Arabidopsis thaliana: one gene and its partner. Each later gene encodes a partner of the first gene's protein in a complex. Each region holds a gene or a part of one and is shown in the gene's direction. Other genes may lie near its edges.

Region 1 (10,130 bases):
TAGCTCAACAAAGATCTGTTCCAAAATAACGCCTCATGTGAGAAAATTCGAAAATTTCTCGAAGCTAGATATCATCGATAATCCAAAAATCTGTAGCTCAAATTAACCAAAACCTTGAGAAGCTGATAAGCTCTTTGTCGGTAGAAGATCGAGATCCCAAATTGCTCATTTTCTCTGGCCGATGGGGGTTTATGCGCTGCTTCTTCTTCTCGAAGGGTTTTACTTTTTCGTTTTTATTTTTACCTTTGTTTTTTTGTTACAATTGCGAAAAAATGGAAAAACTGGTTTTGTTCAATAATCAAATTCCACTAATCGGGTGGACTTCCCTCTCCTATATTTTTTTAGAAAGGAAGTCATTAGAGTTTTTTCTCTGGCAACGGTAGTTCCGTTGTCCAACTATCCGTTTAGAATCTTTTGGCTTTTGACTTTTTGGCTTTTTATCCGATAACTTTCGTTTTTATGGCAATGTTTGGCCAGCTTTAGTTTTGACACCGTCCGTTTCTCTTTACGGTGGTGGTCGGCTAGCGTCTGGCATCTGTCGGCTTTTACAAAGGCGGTTGACTGGCTTATATCTAGAGTTTCATCGTCCTTCTATTGTGTCTCGTCTAGCTTCTAATCGGATTTTTTCCGGTTTAAATTTATCTTTTCGTTCTTTAGTTTTCTTTACATTTGGTTTGATTGGCCCTCTTGTGTTTCAATTCTTAGATCTGGAATTAGAATTCCTTAAACCTCCTTTGATTAAAAGGCTCGTTTTGTTTTTCAAGCTTATCGATTTCAATTTTAAAAGAAACAAATCGGAGTTGTGGATGATGGTTTTTTCTAGTGCCTTTGGATTGAGTTCAACATAATTGTGGTTATTTCTTCCCACCGATCTATGAAGATGATTGCTTTCTTTTATGTTTTTAGTTGTTGGTTGGAAGCTTTATTGGCTTAATCTCTAAGCGGATGTTACTCGGTTAAAACAGTTCATGGTTTGAATGTGCTTTAGGTTCCTAATTAAAAGCTTTAGTTGTTGTGTAGATCTTGAATTACCTTTTCGTCGTTGTTGTCAAGGAATCAGAGATTCAATTGGTTAAGAATCAGTCGTGAGCAAATCAGTATGGTGATCTGCGATTGTCATTACGGTGAGAAACAGAAGATTTGATTGCTCGAACTTAGTTTTCCGGTGACGATCTAAAATTCATCGGAAGTTGGATCTCTTGCGGTGGAGGTTGTGAAATCAACATGTGTCGTAATCTCATCTTTACCGTCTGACGCGTCTTGTGATATGAAGATAGTTTGCTTTGCTGTCTCTTTTCTTTCTTTGGAGGGTTTAATCTTGGGTCTATCTTTGTGGACTATATATTCGTTTTGTTAGCTCTTAAAATATTGTCTTGTAAGAATACCTTGTGCCGTAGACTTTCGATCAATAAAAAAACATTTACGAGAAAAAAATATGGGTGAATTGCAAAACTAACTGTTTTTGATAATTTATTTAAGAAACTAACACTATAATATACAAAATGTAGAAACTAACACTAGAGGGTAGTAAACTTACTAAATTAGTCTTTTTGATTGGAGATGGTAGTGGTGGTGATGGTTGTGGCCGGCGGTGGTGGATGGAGTTGATGGTGGTCGGAAGTGTTGGTGATCGGTGTGGTGGTTGCCGGCGGTGGTGGTGGTGGCCGGTGGTGGTGGTGGCCGGTGGTGGTGGTGGTGACCGGCGGGGTGATGGTCGGCGGTGGTGGTGGTGGTGGTGGTGGTGGTGGTGGTGACCGGCGGTGGTGGTGGTGGCCGGCGGTGGTGGTGGTGACCGGCGGGGTGATGGTCGGCGGTGGTGGTGGTGGTGGTGGTGGTGGTGGTGGTGACCGGCGGTGGTGGTGGTGGCCGGTGGTGGTGATGGCCGACAGTGGTGGTGGCGGTGGTGGTGGTGGCCGAAGTTGGTGGTGGCCGGAGTTGGTGGTGGCCGGATTTGATGGTGGCCGACAGTGACGGTGACCGGTGTTGGTGGTGACCGGAATAGATGGTGGCCGAAGTTGGCGGTGATGGCCGGCGGTGGTGGCAGGCAGTGGTGGCCGGCGGTGGTGGCAGGCAGTGATGGCCGGCGGTGGTGACCGGTGGTGGTGACCGGTGGTGGCCGGCGGTGGTGACCGGCGGTGGTGGCCGGCGGTGGTGGCCAGCGGTGGTGGTTGCTACTGAAGGTATTGAGGCAACAAGGGCAAATTGAGTAATATTACATATAATACAGAGAATATTATAATTACATAGTTAGGATGGTTAGTTAGTGAATTATAGTTTTTTTGTTAGTTATTTCTGCAAATTTCCCAAAAAAATATATCAATTTCCACTAATTTTTTTTATGTACATGTTGGATTCTAGAAAATCAATGAATTTAACAAAACAAATTCATGATCATCGCACAAATTGGCTAAAATATTGTTGATTTTGGAATTGGATGGAAGGTTAATTGTAGATTATAACGGAATTTAAATTGTTTGAATCTTGGAGTAACTCAAAAATATAGATCAAAATGATTACATATGGCTATGTTCTATTGCAAATCGTGAGCGACAGTTCCGACAAAAAAAATACGTCGATAGTAAAATAATTCAAAAATAATCTGTTATATTAATTTTCCATCACATATTTCCAATGCCTTGCTTAAATATATATTTTGAACTGTATAATGTTCTTATACTCTTGTTACTTACCTAGTATAATTAAGAAAAAAACAGTTAAAAGTAAGCTAACAATCCCTATTTGTAATAGAAAAAATCATATTCAAATTTTCAATTTTTTTATATAAATGCAATAATCATAATTAATTTTTTTTATATGAATTTATAATTGCCCAATTATAAATATTAAAGCGGGTTAACACAATTATACTTTAAAAAAAATTTAATTGAATAACATCAGATTCTATATTACACTTTAAGTCATTAAAACTCTTTTGAAATCATAAACCAATAACACCCTTTTACAGTTGAATTTTTTACCTTTCATGATTTTATGTAAATCAATTGTTTTTTTGAAATGAATTTTTGTAGTGGCATTTTATGTAATATTTAATATGTTGTTGGCTATTTACTTAAATGTATGTTTAGTTAATAATATAGAAATATCAAAGTTAATTGCTAAAAATATTATTAAACAAAATATAGAGAGTATATTGTAAATGATAATTCGAAAATGAAATCCATAAATTTTGTTGATCTCAATTGAATCACATCCCAGTATTAGACAAATTGGGTTTTATAAACACTAAGAAGATAAAACGGGGTCATTTCGAAACCGTAAGAAAATAGGATGATTTCTGCAAATATGGGTAATATATATGTAGAACGATAATATTAATACCAGAAACCCTAGAGTTGCTTCCGCTTCGCTTCTCGTCTCTCTTATCAGTCTTCTCTTTTCACGGCTACAAGGTTAGTCCTAAGTTTCGGCTCTGTTCTTGCATCAGTGATTGGATCTCTACTGCCTTTTAATCAAATCTCATTGAATTGATCTGGGTTAGGGTTTGGGTCAGGTTATCGAATCTTTCTGTGTTATTTTGATTCTATGAAATGAATTTAGGGTTTGGGCAAGTTTTTTCTGGTCTATGTAGCTTCCATCCTTTTCTGAGATATCTGATTGGGTTTTTCGGATTCTGGTGATCTCTGTAACAAAATCGCTTCTCTGTGTTTTTCAGGCTAATTGAGAGTGTCCCTTGCGTTAGAGTTTGTTACTAGCTTTTTTCGTCTGAAACATGGCGAATTTTGCCAAACCAGAGAACGCGTTGAAGCGTGCTGATGGTAAGTTACGAAATGTTTTCGTTTTAACATCCATTTGGTCAAATGGATGTGGTTAGGGTGTGTATGAATTGAGATTGTGTTAAACACTTTTTTTTTGTGTGTGTAGAATTGATCAATGTTGGACAGAAACAAGATGCTCTTCAGGCGCTTCATGATCTCATTACTTCCAAGAGATACAGAGCTTGGCAGAAACCGCTTGAGAAGATCATGTTTAAGTATCTTGATCTTTGTGTTGACTTGAAGAGGGGTCGATTCGCTAAGGATGGATTGATTCAGTATCGTATTGTTTGCCAGCAAGTGAATGTCAGTTCCTTGGAGGAAGTTATCAAGCACTTCCTACATCTTGCTACTGACAAAGCTGAGCAAGCTCGGTCTCAGGCGGATGCCCTTGAGGAGGCTCTTGATGTTGATGACCTTGAAGCTGATAGGAAGCCTGAGGATTTACAGCTAAGTATTGTCAGTGGGGAGAAGGGAAAAGATAGGTCTGACCGTGAGTTGGTCACCCCATGGTTTAAGTTTCTGTGGGAGACATACAGGACAGTCCTTGAGATATTGCGAAACAACTCAAAGTTGGAAGCACTTTATGCGGTTTGTTTTCTTCTAGGTTAAGCTTATTGGTGATACCTCTGATTTTAAGTTGATTGAGATTGAAGACTTGTACTTTATAATCTTGTAGATGACAGCACATAAAGCCTTCCAGTTCTGTAAGCAGTACAAGCGAACAACAGAGTTCCGTAGGCTTTGTGAAATTATAAGAAATCATTTGGCAAACCTGAACAAGTACAGAGACCAAAGGGACCGACCTGACTTATCAGCCCCTGAGAGCTTGCAGCTGTATCTGGACACAAGGTTTGATCAGTTGAAAGTTGCTACTGAGCTTGGACTTTGGCAGGTGCGTTTTTGTTTTCTATGTGTATTTTTCTGATGCTACCTTCTCTATTCCATATTTAGTTTGGCTGTATATAGCTTATCCTCTGTATAATTACTGGAAATAAGTTAGTATGGTTCGTGATGTATCTTTGCAGGAAGCTTTTCGCTCTGTTGAAGATATCTATGGATTAATGTGCATGGTCAAAAAAACGCCCAAGTCATCTTTATTGATGGTTTATTATTCCAAATTGACTGAGATCTTCTGGATTTCTTCTAGCCATCTTTATCATGCTTATGCATGGTTTAAGCTGTTTAGTCTGCAGAAAAATTTCAACAAGAATTTAAGCCAAAAGGATTTGCAGCTAATAGCGTCATCTGTTGTCTTGGCGGCATTGTCCATTCCACCATTTGATCGGGCTCAGAGCGCATCCCATATGGAACTTGAAAATGAGAAAGAACGCAATTTGAGGATGGCTAACCTCATTGGATTCAATCTTGAACCTAAATTTGAGGGCAAAGATATGGTAACATAGGTTCTTATGTTGCTTCATTTTTATTTTGCGCCCTTTCTTTCTGGTTTAGTATTCTAATTCCATTTCCTTCCTGTTTCAGCTTTCCCGGTCAGCTCTTCTGTCAGAGCTGGTGAGTCTCTAGCTGTTACCCTGTCTGTGGTTTAGAATATTTGTCGACTTACAAATATCTGATTTGGAGGCTGATTTTTATGCAATTAGGTTTCAAAAGGTGTTTTGAGCTGTGCATCTCAGGAGGTCAAAGATCTTTTCCATGTTTTGGAGCATGAATTTCACCCACTTGATCTTGGCTCCAAGATTCAGCCTTTGCTGGAAAAGATTTCCAAATCTGGTGGGAAACTGTCCTCAGCTCCTTCTTTACCAGAAGTGCAACTTTCCCAATATGTTCCTTCTCTGGAGAAGCTTGCTACTCTGAGGCTACTTCAACAGGTAAGCCTTGTTCTCTATGTTGTAGGTCAATACCCATTCAACCATTTTGGATTTTTCTGGTGGTTTATCCCTTTTTCTGCATACTAAATGTTCTATGTTCCGATTTTATTTTCAGGTGTCTAAGATTTATCAGACAATAAGAATTGAGAGTTTATCTCAGTTGGTACCCTTCTTTCAATTCTCAGAGGTAGAGAAGATTTCTGTTGATGCTGTGAAGAACAATTTTGTTGCCATGAAAGTTGATCACATGAAGGGTGTTGTAATTTTTGGAAATTTGGTAAGCCTCTGTTAAAGCTTCAGCTCAACACTGATTATATCATATGTAGTTGAGTAATATAATTTTTAACTTATTGACTAAATACTAATCTATTTGATCAACTGTTTGTATATTAGGGTATTGAGTCTGATGGACTGAGGGATCATCTGGCTGTTTTTGCCGAGTCTTTGAGCAAAGTAAGAGCTATGCTGTATCCTGTCCCAAGTAAAGCATCAAAACTAGCTGGCGTTATACCAAATTTAGCAGATACTGTTGAGAAAGAGCACAAAAGACTGCTTGCTCGTAAATCAATCATTGAAAAGAGGAAGGAGGATCAAGAGCGTCAGCAACTAGAAATGGTAGTTACTTTTCCATGGTTATTTGCACAGCTCTCCTTTTACGCTGTACCTGTTTATGAAAATTCCTTTATTTGATGTTTACTTTTGAAGGAACGTGAAGAGGAGCAGAAACGGCTTAAGCTTCAGAAGCTAACTGAAGAGGCAGAACAAAAGAGACTTGCAGCAGAGCTTGCAGAGAGAAGAAAACAAAGAATCCTTAGAGAGATAGAGGAGAAGGAGCTTGAAGAAGCCCAAGCTTTACTGGAAGAGACAGAGAAGCGCATGAAAAAGGGAAAGAAGAAGCCACTTTTAGACGGAGTAAGTTTACCAATATGTTAGCTATTATATAGTTCACTGATTAACTTATTACTAATGTCGGTTGGGTTAAACTAAATATAGGAGAAGGTGACAAAGCAATCTGTGAAGGAAAGGGCCTTAACTGAGCAGCTCAAGGAAAGGCAAGAAATGGAGAAGAAGCTTCAAAAGCTTGCCAAAACGATGGATTATTTGGAAAGAGCAAAGAGAGAAGAGGCTGCTCCATTGATTGAAGCTGCATATCAGCGAAGACTGGTAGAGGAAAGAGAGTTTTATGAGCGTGAACAACAGGTACTTACTGTTTCAGTAGTTTTTCTTTTCTTACAACTTGGTTCTGTGTTGGAAGTATATGAGGTCTTAAAAGCTCTTCTCCTATGCAGCGTGAAGTTGAACTCAGTAAAGAGCGTCATGAGAGTGACTTGAAGGAGAAGAACAGGTTGTCCAGAATGTTGGGTAATAAGGTCAGTCTTTGACATGTCATGTTGTTTCTCTTAATGTTCATCTTTGATCTGAATCTCTTTTCGTTATTGAATTAATTTTAAAGCTCTCTAGTTTCTTACATTTTTCCTGTAACTTTTCCTTCCAATGTACTTATAATCGAATCTTTCTGTGCCCAGGAAATATTCCAAGCACAAGTGATTAGTCGTCGACAAGCAGAGTTTGACAGAATCAGGACGGAGAGAGAGGAGCGTATCAGTAAAATAATCCGAGAGAAGAAGCAAGAAAGGGATATCAAGAGGAAGCAGATATATTATTTGAAAATTGAAGAAGAAAGGATTAGGAAGCTGCAGGAAGAAGAGGAAGCTCGCAAGCAGGAAGGTGTGGACTTGCTTCCATAAATCCACATCATTTTGACTTTGATATTGAAGTTTTTCTTAATAACCCCTTGTTTCTGTTTATTTTTTGGGTTTTCCTCTAATGTAGAAGCTGAGAGGCTCAAGAAGGTAGAAGCTGAACGCAAAGCAAACTTGGATAAAGCTTTTGAGAAGCAAAGGCAGAGAGAGATAGAGCTGGAAGAGAAAAGTAGGCGGGAACGAGAAGAGCTGTTGAGAGGAACTAATGCACCACCTGCTCGCCTTGCAGAGCCTACTGTTACTCCTGTTGGAACTACCGCACCAGCAGCAGCAGCAGCAGCAGCAGGAGCACCAGCAGCACCTTATGTTCCGAAGTGGAAGCGCCAGACTACTGAGGTCTCAGGCCCATCAGCACCAACATCATCAGAAACTGACCGACGGTCCAACCGTGGGCCGCCTCCCGGAGATGACCACTGGGGAAGCAACAGAGGAGCCGCTCAGAATACTGACCGGTGGACTAGTAATAGGGAAAGATCTGGACCTCCAGCTGAAGGAGGAGACCGTTGGGGTTCTGGTCCTAGAGGCAGTGATGATCGCCGATCCACATTTGGAAGCTCCAGGCCCAGGCCAACACAGCGTTGAGTAATAATAATTTTTTTGGTCTCAATCTCCATGGGAATGAATGAAAAAGGTTATCTCTGGATTTTCAACATCACAGCACTCTTCTTTAGCCCAAACCTGTCTCTTCTTCTTTTGAAGATTGCTCATCTTTTATAAGTTTTTATGAAAGATTTTAAAACATGTTAGACTCGTTTTTTGCTCTACACACCCAGAGAGAGTTGTTATTTCCTTCTTCGGTTGGATCTTTCTTTGTTTGTCCAATTTATTTCCAACTTTCTGCTGTAAAAACCTTTGACATTGATCAGCTTCTCTTTCAAGCAAACTTTTTGTTAATTGCTTATTATTAGTTTATGAAGAACAATAAACGAATACCAAATTTCACATTTAACAACATTTGTATCAAAAATGTAAATAGTGTATACAAACATCTTTATTCTTATCTCTGGATTAAGGAAGAAAACAAATGAAACTGTAATTAATACTTTTATACGAGATTCTTCAGTGCCTTGTTTTGAGAACAGAGCATGGGCACATTGCAAAAGCTCTCGGAAAAAGAAATTTTATAATTGGTCAACTTTACTAGGGTGTGTGTTTGATCATCAGCTAGCGTTGGTTTGGTTGAGATTAGACTTTAATTTTGTGGTACAGAAGATAGAAACAAAACAAACATGTGGCCTTTTTGGTGGAAAGGAGCATCTGGGTTCTCTGCTCGTTCCACAGCTGAAGAAGTCACTCATGGAATCGATGGTACTGGTCTCACTGCTATCGTCACAGGTCCTCTTCTTCTTCTTCTTCTTCTTCTTCTTCTTCTTCTTCGTGCAGATGTTTTCAACTTTTTTATGATCTATGTTCAGTCTATAGTTTAATTTCTTGGTTTTGATCCTGCCCTTGAACTCAAGTTGTTGTTGGTATCTGTTAATGGACTAAAGGATTAAACTTTATCAGGCTTGTTAAGAACACATCTTGAAGCAAAGGAGAAGATTTTGCTGGTTTTTGATGTATATGTTTTATTTGATTTCAGGAGCATCAAGTGGTATTGGGGAAGAGACTACTCGTGTTCTTGCTCTTCGTGGTGTTCATGTTGTAATGGCGGTAAGGAATACAGATTCTGGTAATCAAGTCAGAGATAAGATACTTAAGGAAATACCTCAGGCTAAGATTGATGTAATGAAGTTGGATCTTAGCTCTATGGCTTCTGTCAGGAGCTTTGCATCAGAGTATCAGTCTTTGGACCTTCCCTTGAATCTTCTCATGTAAAGTCTCTCTAAGTTTGTAGTTTGTTTCAGTAATTGCTGGATTAGTGAATGTTAATATGTGTTAGTCGGCTTAATCTTTGTTCTTGTTTTTGTAGCAATAATGCGGGGATTATGGCATGTCCCTTCTTGCTTTCTAGCGACAACATTGAATTACAGTTTGCAACCAATCATTTGGGTATGTTTAGTTTAGAAGAACTTATGATCTCCTCCCTTTTTGCTTCTTTGTTTGAACTTTTGCTTCATCGTTTGAAGTATGATGAGGAACATTTTCTATGTTATAAGGTTTATGTTTTGTACAATGCTTCAGGTCATTTTCTGTTGACAAACCTTCTTTTGGAGAGGATGAAGAAAACAGCTAGTGAAAGCAATAGAGAAGGAAGAATTGTTATTGTCTCATCAGAAGGTCATCGATTTGCTTACCGGGAAGGTGTTCAGTTTGACAAAATAAATGATGAAGCAAGGTGATTGTTATGTGATAGTATTGTTTATTACTTTTGAGTTCTAGTGTAGTAAACTAATAACATACTGCTATTGCTCTCACTGTTTCTCTACAGGTACAATACTTTGCAAGCATATGGTCAGTCAAAGCTCGGTAACATCTTGCACGCTACTGAGCTCGCTAGGCTATTCAAGGTAAGATAGTATTTCGCAGTTGATTCGTAGTCAATTCCAAAGGTCAAAGAGAAAGCTAGAGGAGTTAGGTTTGGTTCATCTTTGTTTTGCTTAAAACAGGAACAAGGTGTGAATATCACTGCTAATTCACTTCATCCTGGATCCATTATGACCAATCTTTTACGCTACCACAGCTTCATAAATAGTAAATCCTCTTTCGCCTTATATATCATTTCTGACTTTCCTTTGTTTATTTAATACTGCATACTGGACTGACACTCGATAAACAACGGATTAACTTGTGTCGCCTTGTAAAATTTAGTTTGAGCCTGC
Region 2 (6,797 bases), on another chromosome or scaffold:
TTAGCTTTGAAACTAAGAACCCTAAGTTGATCCAACTGGTTCAAACTCTTCTCGTTAAGTGAGCCGGTGAGATTCAAGTACTCAAGAACAAGCTTGGAGACTCTTCCATTCATACATTCTCTAACACCTTGCCAGTTGCAGAGATCTGTTCCTCTCCAAGAAATCGAATTAGATGGATCGATTGAAGATTTCAAGCTTAGTAAAGCTTCGACGTCGCTAGATCTCGCCGGAGTAACCAAACAGAAGAAGACTGTAAATGCAAAGACTACGAACGACACCGTACTCGAAGACGAAGAAGAAGAAGAAGAAGCCATTGTCGATGAATGATGAATCAATCAAATCAGAAAGAGTGGCTCTTTTCCTCAGCTCATAAAAGAAACAGAAATGATTGATACAGTTCGAAATCGAGTTTCCATAAAAAGCATCCCATGAATCTCCTCAAAGCCATCACTTTCTATTATTAAGTCACTTTCCAGATCTGCCCCATTATGCTAAAGCATCTCGATCGAAGCAAAAAAGGGAAAGGTAAAAAATGAAGAAGAAGAAGAAGAAAGTGAGAGCTCTGCTCTACTCTGCTCTTTAATGGCGGAAAGAAATCTTCTGGTAGTGAGCACTAAGAAGAGAAGAAGAAGCATTAAAATTCCCCGGCATTTTCTCTCTCTCTCACTTCACTTTCTGAGTATCTTTTCTCGAAGTTCTTGGTCGAGGAAGATGTCATCACGTGAAGCCATGCCTGGAAAACTTTTTTTTTGTTCTCACTGTGACATCTTCAATGCATTCATGAATAATAGTAGTATTATAAAAAAAATTAATAATGGGTTTATGAAGGAGAGACGAAGGAGAAAGAGAAAAATAATTCACGTATATTTTTGTCGTTATTGTTATGGTTGCTATTACTTTGCCAAGATTCAGAGACAGATAGGTTTTGGGGCCAAGGTAGTTACTGCTGCTGAGAAAATTTATATAGAGATTTTATGGTGAAGTGTGGTATGGAGCAGAAGAAATATGGTGGGAATAATTAATTTTAGGGATGATTTATTTAAAGTAAGGAGAGACATTGTTTTTCAATTTTATTCAGTTGGTGTCTGGTTCCTCTTTGCACTCTCTACCAATTATTGAGCTGCTTTTTTTTCCTACCTCTTTTTCTTGTTGAATCTTCACATGGTTTTTATAATATTTTTAATCGTATTTTAATATGGACCTCATGTTATTTATACAATGAGGATATAGATTGTTGGATTTTTGTTTGAGAGGAAAGTTAAAGATGTGTTAACATTCATGGTTGGTATTCAATCTCTAAAACGAGGATGTTGAAGTGTTTATTAAATTAGGAATTTATTAGTTGCTTAGCTTAAGCGTGATGAAAATGTAATAAAGAAGAGGTGAGAATTGAGTTCACGTAAAGGCTGAGTTAATTATTAACCAGCGGTCCACCAGTCCAAACACCAACCTCGCAAAGAGACTGCAGTCATTTAATTTGGCATCAATATTATTGTTGACTTCTTTGACCTTCAATGAATCATCAAGGTTTTCGACTTTCGAGTAATAAACTATAGTACATTTAATACGTTTTATATATTTGGTTTTACGTTTTTTGATACCAGTGGTGATTCTCTAGTTTTTGCCGTTTATTTAGGACATTGTTGATTTTCTTACGGACTTATGAAATGACCATGTCTTATAGACTTTTTAAAGTTGGTTACTAAAGATTAGACTTTGAATTAGTCCTCTTTTTCGATTAAACCCTAATACCGGATGGAATTTGGAGGGAAAGTTTCTAAAAGTTTTGGATTCTAGTTGACTCCATGACTGTTTGTTTTTTCTTACTAAGTTTTGACTAGTTGGTTAGTGTAATGGGCCCATGCTATTAAATTAAATGTTCAATATTTTGAGGAATATTATGGTCCTGGCCTTTTACAAGAGAATAGCATTATAGGTCCATGGGCTGGGTCCATCCTTATTATAGGTCGGAAAACATTTAGGGATCATTCTATAAGAATCTCAAATTTTAGGGCTCTTTTGCAATTTTAACTGCGAAACGCTTTTTTTTTTTCCTCTCTACACCCAAATTGAAGGGAAAAAAAAATCTGCGGATCCTCGAGAAGCCCTATCAAACACATAAAGTTCTTTCTCTTACTCATCTCCGCCGCCGGCAGTAAAAATATCACATCGTTAGGGTTTCACGGCGGAGATTCAAGTTCTTTGACCTAGGAAGCTTTCACTATCACCGGAGACTATTTCAATGGCAACCAGTCAGTATAATCATCCTCTCTGTTCTTCACTAGGACATAGAATTAATATTTGCATCTGTTTATTGACGATTTCTGTATATGTCGTGCTAAGTTTCTTCCGTGGTTTATTTCTGCAGTGGCTAGGTCGTTTCTGCAGGCGATATCGAAGGATGAGGCGGTGGCTCCTCCGCTTAGAGTTGTTCAGATCGAAGGACTGGTAACGTTTCTTAGTGTTCCCTGATTTTACGGTTTTAAGTGTTTTTCCTCGTTTTCTGCTGACCGATGGTGTTTGATAAATAAAAACTCTCTAGGTGAAGCTAATTTGCCCATTATCATTTGGTAGGAAGTTGTGATGCTGAGAATTTTGTTTGCTATTGTGATAGGCTGTACTAAAGATAATCAAACACTGCAAGGAGTTTTCACCGACCCTTGTCACTGGACAGCTTCTTGGACTTGATGTTGGTAGCGTCCTCGAAGTTACCAATTGTTTTCCTTTCCCGGTATGTTGATGAATTTTACACGCATTGTGAGGATTTAAGAGCTTGTTCATGATTGATGTACATGTGATTTACTGGAATTTGTATCTTAAACGAGGACAGGTCAGGGATGATGATGAAGAAATTGAAGCTGATGGTGCTAATTATCAGCTTGAGATGATGAGATGTCTGAGGGAGGTTAATGTTGACAACAACACTGTTGGCTGGTAGGTTTTTTAATGACATCAGTCTGAGTTCACTTGTTAAATTTTTTCTTGTGAATGTATTTAGATCTGCCTAATTCTTTGTTCAGGTATCAATCTACAGTTCTTGGTTCGTATCAGACTGTGGAACTGATTGAGACCTTCATGAATTACCAGGTACTTTTTTTTTTGTTAAAGAATCCTGTCTACCATGTCATTATAACATTCTAGATTTGGTCTGTTCATATGTTATGCTCTTCATTCAGCTGGAAATTTATATGTATAGCATGGCTACTCTAGTGTATGATAGGTATATTGGCATGTGTAAAAGTTGAATGTAAATTGGATCATGAATATATTTTCTGAGACTTTTTTTGTCCGCAACTCTGTTACAATCCCTTGCAGAATCATGATATGAACTCTTAAGAAATGATTCTTCTGCATCTACAGGAGAATATCAAGAGGTGTGTGTGCATCATATATGATCCCTCTAAAGCTGATCTAGGCGTCTTAGCTTTGAAGGCTTTGAAGCTTTCAGATTCCTTTATGGAGTTGTACCGAGGTGGAAACTTTACTGGCGAGAAGTATGTATCTTGATCCATTGAAAATCTAGGTTTTATGAGCCACTTAGGATGATAGTTGTAACGTTTTAATCACTATCTTTTTCAGGTTGAGAGAGAAAAATTTCTCCTGGATGGATATTTTTGAGGAAATACCTGTAAGTCTCTAGCTTTCTTCTATATTGAATTCTTACCAGCTAATCTTTTCAAGTCACTAGGTTGGAATTGTTACCTAATTATATTTTCCTCTGACAAAAAAAGTGGTTTAAATGTTTGTTACTTTTCCTTTGACAGATCAAGGTTTCAAATTCTGCCCTTGTCAGTGCCTTTATGACCGAACTGGAGACTGATACACCTGTCTCACAGGTACAATACTACTATCTGGATAGTGATCCTTGCTTGCTGTCAGCATTGCAGATTTTGACTCTTGATACTTCTGTATTTTCGCCTTTCTAGGGCGATTATGATCGTCTACACTCATCAACCACTCCTTTCCTTGAGAACAATATGGAGTTTTTGATTAAATGCATGGATGATTTATCTATGGAACAGCAAAAGGTGTGGTTTCTTCTGCACTCTTGTTCAATTCTCATCATCAGAAGTCCGAACTATCTTAACGCAAAATCTTAATTTATTTCTCCAGTTCCAGTATTACTACCGGAACCTGTCTCGTCAGCAAGCACAACAGCAAGCCTGGCTCCAGAAGAGAAGGTAGGTTTATATTTTCTGCAGAACCTTTTTGTTCTAGTTCAGGTTTGATTAGTTTCACTACCTCGTTATCTTGGAAGGTGATACAACTTTACTTACGAGAGTTGTGAATGCCTTGTAACATTTGTCTTCAGCTTTTCCTTGTCCTTTTGATCTTCCAACTAATGAAAGAGGTGTTTGGTTTATAGAACGGAGAACATGGCTCGTAAATCAGCTGGAGAGGAGCCTTTACCAGAAGAGGATCCTTCAAACCCAATCTTTAAGGCGATCCCTGAACCATCTAGGCTAGAGAGTTTCCTCATCACAAACCAAGTCTCAAACTTCTGTGGCCAAATCAATGGGTATGTTCCTCTTTAGTATTGTTTCACCATTTTTGGAGCTTTGAAAGATACTTAAAATGAGTCGACCTGTTGTTATGCAGAGTGGCTGGCCAGAACTTCAGCAGGCTTTACCTGACCAAAGCATTGCACGACAACTGATTGCAAAGACTACCCAAGTTTTTGTTTTTTGAGTCAGAAAGTGAAAGACTTGGTGGTAGAATGGATCCTATATTTGTTTTTCGTGGATGTTTTTGTTTTTATTTTTGTTGTTGTGAAGTAATTTAATTTACAAGCTTTTCAAAAAAAATCTTTATTCTTATGCATAATGAAAAATTATTGAAGTTTTGAAAGATTTATCTTGTATTGGACCTCTGATTGCCTTACAACAAATTATACATAGTTATCAAAATCCTAATCAAAAGAGTAAAAAATCTAATTTATAGAGATTTTATTATAGTTGTAGTGTTAGTTCCATCGCTAAATCCCTTGAACGACAACGTTTATTATTTCTTCTTCGGACGATTGTTTGAAGAAATTTAAAAACGACATCTTTTTATTACTTCCTCTTCGAAAGATTGTTTACCAACAAGAACAATGGCGGTTTATCATCTCCTTCTCTCGAGCCCACCTTCGCTTCTTCTTCTCCCTCCTTCTCCTCGCCGCCCTAACCTCACCTTAATCCGCCGTATCCCAGCTCATCCTCGCCTCGGAAACTCGACCAGCTTGCTTTCTTCTTCGTCACCGGTAATTCGGAAAATTCTGGTTCGTAGCACTCTCCGGGAAGACCAACCCATCGCCTCTGACTCCGAGAGTAGTCCTACTCTACTGATCGGTGAAGATTCTGCTGCTTTTGAATTAGGGAAACAGAAGCTTGTTTCCTGGGTTTATTTCGGTGTTGTCCTTGGAGTTGTTCTCTTTATCCTCAATGTTGTTTGGATCGATAATTCCACCGGTTTCGGAAAATCATTCATCGACGCCGTCTCTAACATCTCCGGCTCACCGGAGGTATAGATCAATTTAACAGTAACTGAACCAGTTTCAATTTCAGTTATTTGATTGTTAAAAACCACTTGTTTTTGCAGGTTGCTATGTTAATGCTTATCCTTATATTTGCAATTGTACATAGTGGTTTAGCTAGTCTAAGGGATATAGGAGAGAAACTTATAGGTGAACGAGCATTTCGTGTTTTGTTTGCTGGAATCTCTCTTCCTTTAGCTATGAGCACCATTGTGAGTACTCTCTCTTCTAACTCTGCAATTTTTCTCCTGATCAATGGTATAAATACCTGTTTGATGTCTCTTATGGTCTATGCAATGCCTTGTTCTTCTTTCAGGTTTACTTTATAAACCATAGATATGATGGGTCACAGTTATGGCAGCTTCAGGGTGTTCCTGGAGTCCATGAAGCTATTTGGGTCGCTAATTTTGTATCCTTCTTCTTTCTCTATCCTTCAACCTTCAATCTTCTGGAGGTAGCAGCTGTTGACAAACCGAAGATGCATCTCTGGGAGACCGGCATCATGAGAATCACTCGACATCCTCAGGTTTTGAACATTTCCCTAATGTGCCTAAACATGAAGACAATTTCCTTCATTTTTGTGTTTCAAAAATACAGAAAGATTGGATTTTTATGAGCCAAGGTTTATTAGTGGCTGTGTTAATGAGACCCCCAATCATTGAATCAATTATGGGCAGGTATTGGCCATTGACTTAAATACACCCATTACATCAGCACAATCAAATCTCCTCATCCTTCTATGTTTATTACATCAATGCTTGATTACTTTACTTGATATTGCTTTTGATCTTAAAATTCTTATCCAATTGCTTCATCATGTGTTTGGAAAAACTTGATAATATATAGAAAGATAGGCATTTTAGCTTCAGTTTTGGTTTGTTCTATTCTCTCTTCATTATACTGGCTTTGTTAATGAGACTTGATTGTTGCACCTCTCTCCTCTGATCTTCTCCAGATGGTTGGACAAATCGTTTGGTGTTTAGCACATACTCTCTGGATCGGAAACACAGTAGCTGCATCAGCTTCTCTCGGTTTGATTGCACACCATTTGTTTGGGGCGTGGAATGGAGACAGGAGATTGGCAAAAAGATATGGAGAGGATTTTGAAAGCATCAAGAAGAGAACAAGTGTGATTCCATTTGCTGCCATTTTCGAAGGACGGCAAGTTTTACCTGAGGATTACTACAAAGAATTTGTCAGGTTGCCATATCTTGCAATCACTGCGTTAACGGTTGGGGCATATTTTGCTCACCCGCTAATGCAAGGTGCAAGCTTTAGGCTT

The links. The genes of interacting proteins can lie anywhere in the genome.
Region 2: EIF3A (region 1) and TIF3H1 share a complex: the UniProt entries of both Arabidopsis thaliana proteins name them as parts of the eukaryotic translation initiation factor 3 (eIF-3) complex.

What each region holds. Positions count from the first base shown.
Region 1 is NC_003075.7:6,945,654-6,955,783, reverse strand, and holds EIF3A (eukaryotic translation initiation factor 3A), read left to right. Parts: upstream 1-3,304; 5' UTR 3,305-3,410; intron 3,411-3,673; 5' UTR 3,674-3,730; coding exon 3,731-3,776; intron 3,777-3,882; coding exon 3,883-4,364; intron 4,365-4,452; coding exon 4,453-4,668; intron 4,669-4,801; coding exon 4,802-5,170; intron 5,171-5,258; coding exon 5,259-5,288; intron 5,289-5,377; coding exon 5,378-5,605; intron 5,606-5,720; coding exon 5,721-5,882; intron 5,883-5,998; coding exon 5,999-6,220; intron 6,221-6,310; coding exon 6,311-6,517; intron 6,518-6,598; coding exon 6,599-6,805; intron 6,806-6,894; coding exon 6,895-6,975; intron 6,976-7,131; coding exon 7,132-7,333; intron 7,334-7,438; coding exon 7,439-7,950; 3' UTR 7,951-8,308; downstream 8,309-10,130. Other genes in the region: AT4G11430 (hydroxyproline-rich glycoprotein family protein), read right to left, coding at 1,542-2,171, 2,956-2,985; AT4G11410 (NAD(P)-binding Rossmann-fold superfamily protein), read left to right, coding at 8,598-8,703, 8,951-9,182, 9,281-9,360, 9,493-9,646, 9,740-9,818, 9,918-10,002. UniProt on the Arabidopsis thaliana protein: RNA-binding component of the eukaryotic translation initiation factor 3 (eIF-3) complex, which is involved in protein synthesis of a specialized repertoire of mRNAs and, together with other initiation factors, stimulates binding of mRNA and methionyl-tRNAi to the 40S ribosome.
Region 2 is NC_003070.9:3,605,745-3,612,541, reverse strand, and holds TIF3H1 (translation initiation factor 3 subunit H1), read left to right. Parts: upstream 1-1,925; 5' UTR 1,926-2,242; coding exon 2,243-2,252; exon of another isoform or gene 2,253-2,368; coding exon 2,369-2,448; intron 2,449-2,614; coding exon 2,615-2,731; intron 2,732-2,830; coding exon 2,831-2,934; intron 2,935-3,020; coding exon 3,021-3,087; intron 3,088-3,360; coding exon 3,361-3,494; intron 3,495-3,579; coding exon 3,580-3,628; intron 3,629-3,764; coding exon 3,765-3,836; intron 3,837-3,926; coding exon 3,927-4,028; intron 4,029-4,113; coding exon 4,114-4,181; intron 4,182-4,366; coding exon 4,367-4,519; intron 4,520-4,599; coding exon 4,600-4,657; 3' UTR 4,658-4,911; downstream 4,912-6,797. Other genes in the region: AT1G10850 (Leucine-rich repeat protein kinase family protein), read right to left, coding at 1-314; Z-ISO (15-cis-zeta-carotene isomerase), read left to right, coding at 5,093-5,503, 5,581-5,727, 5,832-6,041, 6,471-6,797. UniProt on the Arabidopsis thaliana protein: Component of the eukaryotic translation initiation factor 3 (eIF-3) complex, which is involved in protein synthesis of a specialized repertoire of mRNAs and, together with other initiation factors, stimulates binding of mRNA and methionyl-tRNAi to the 40S ribosome.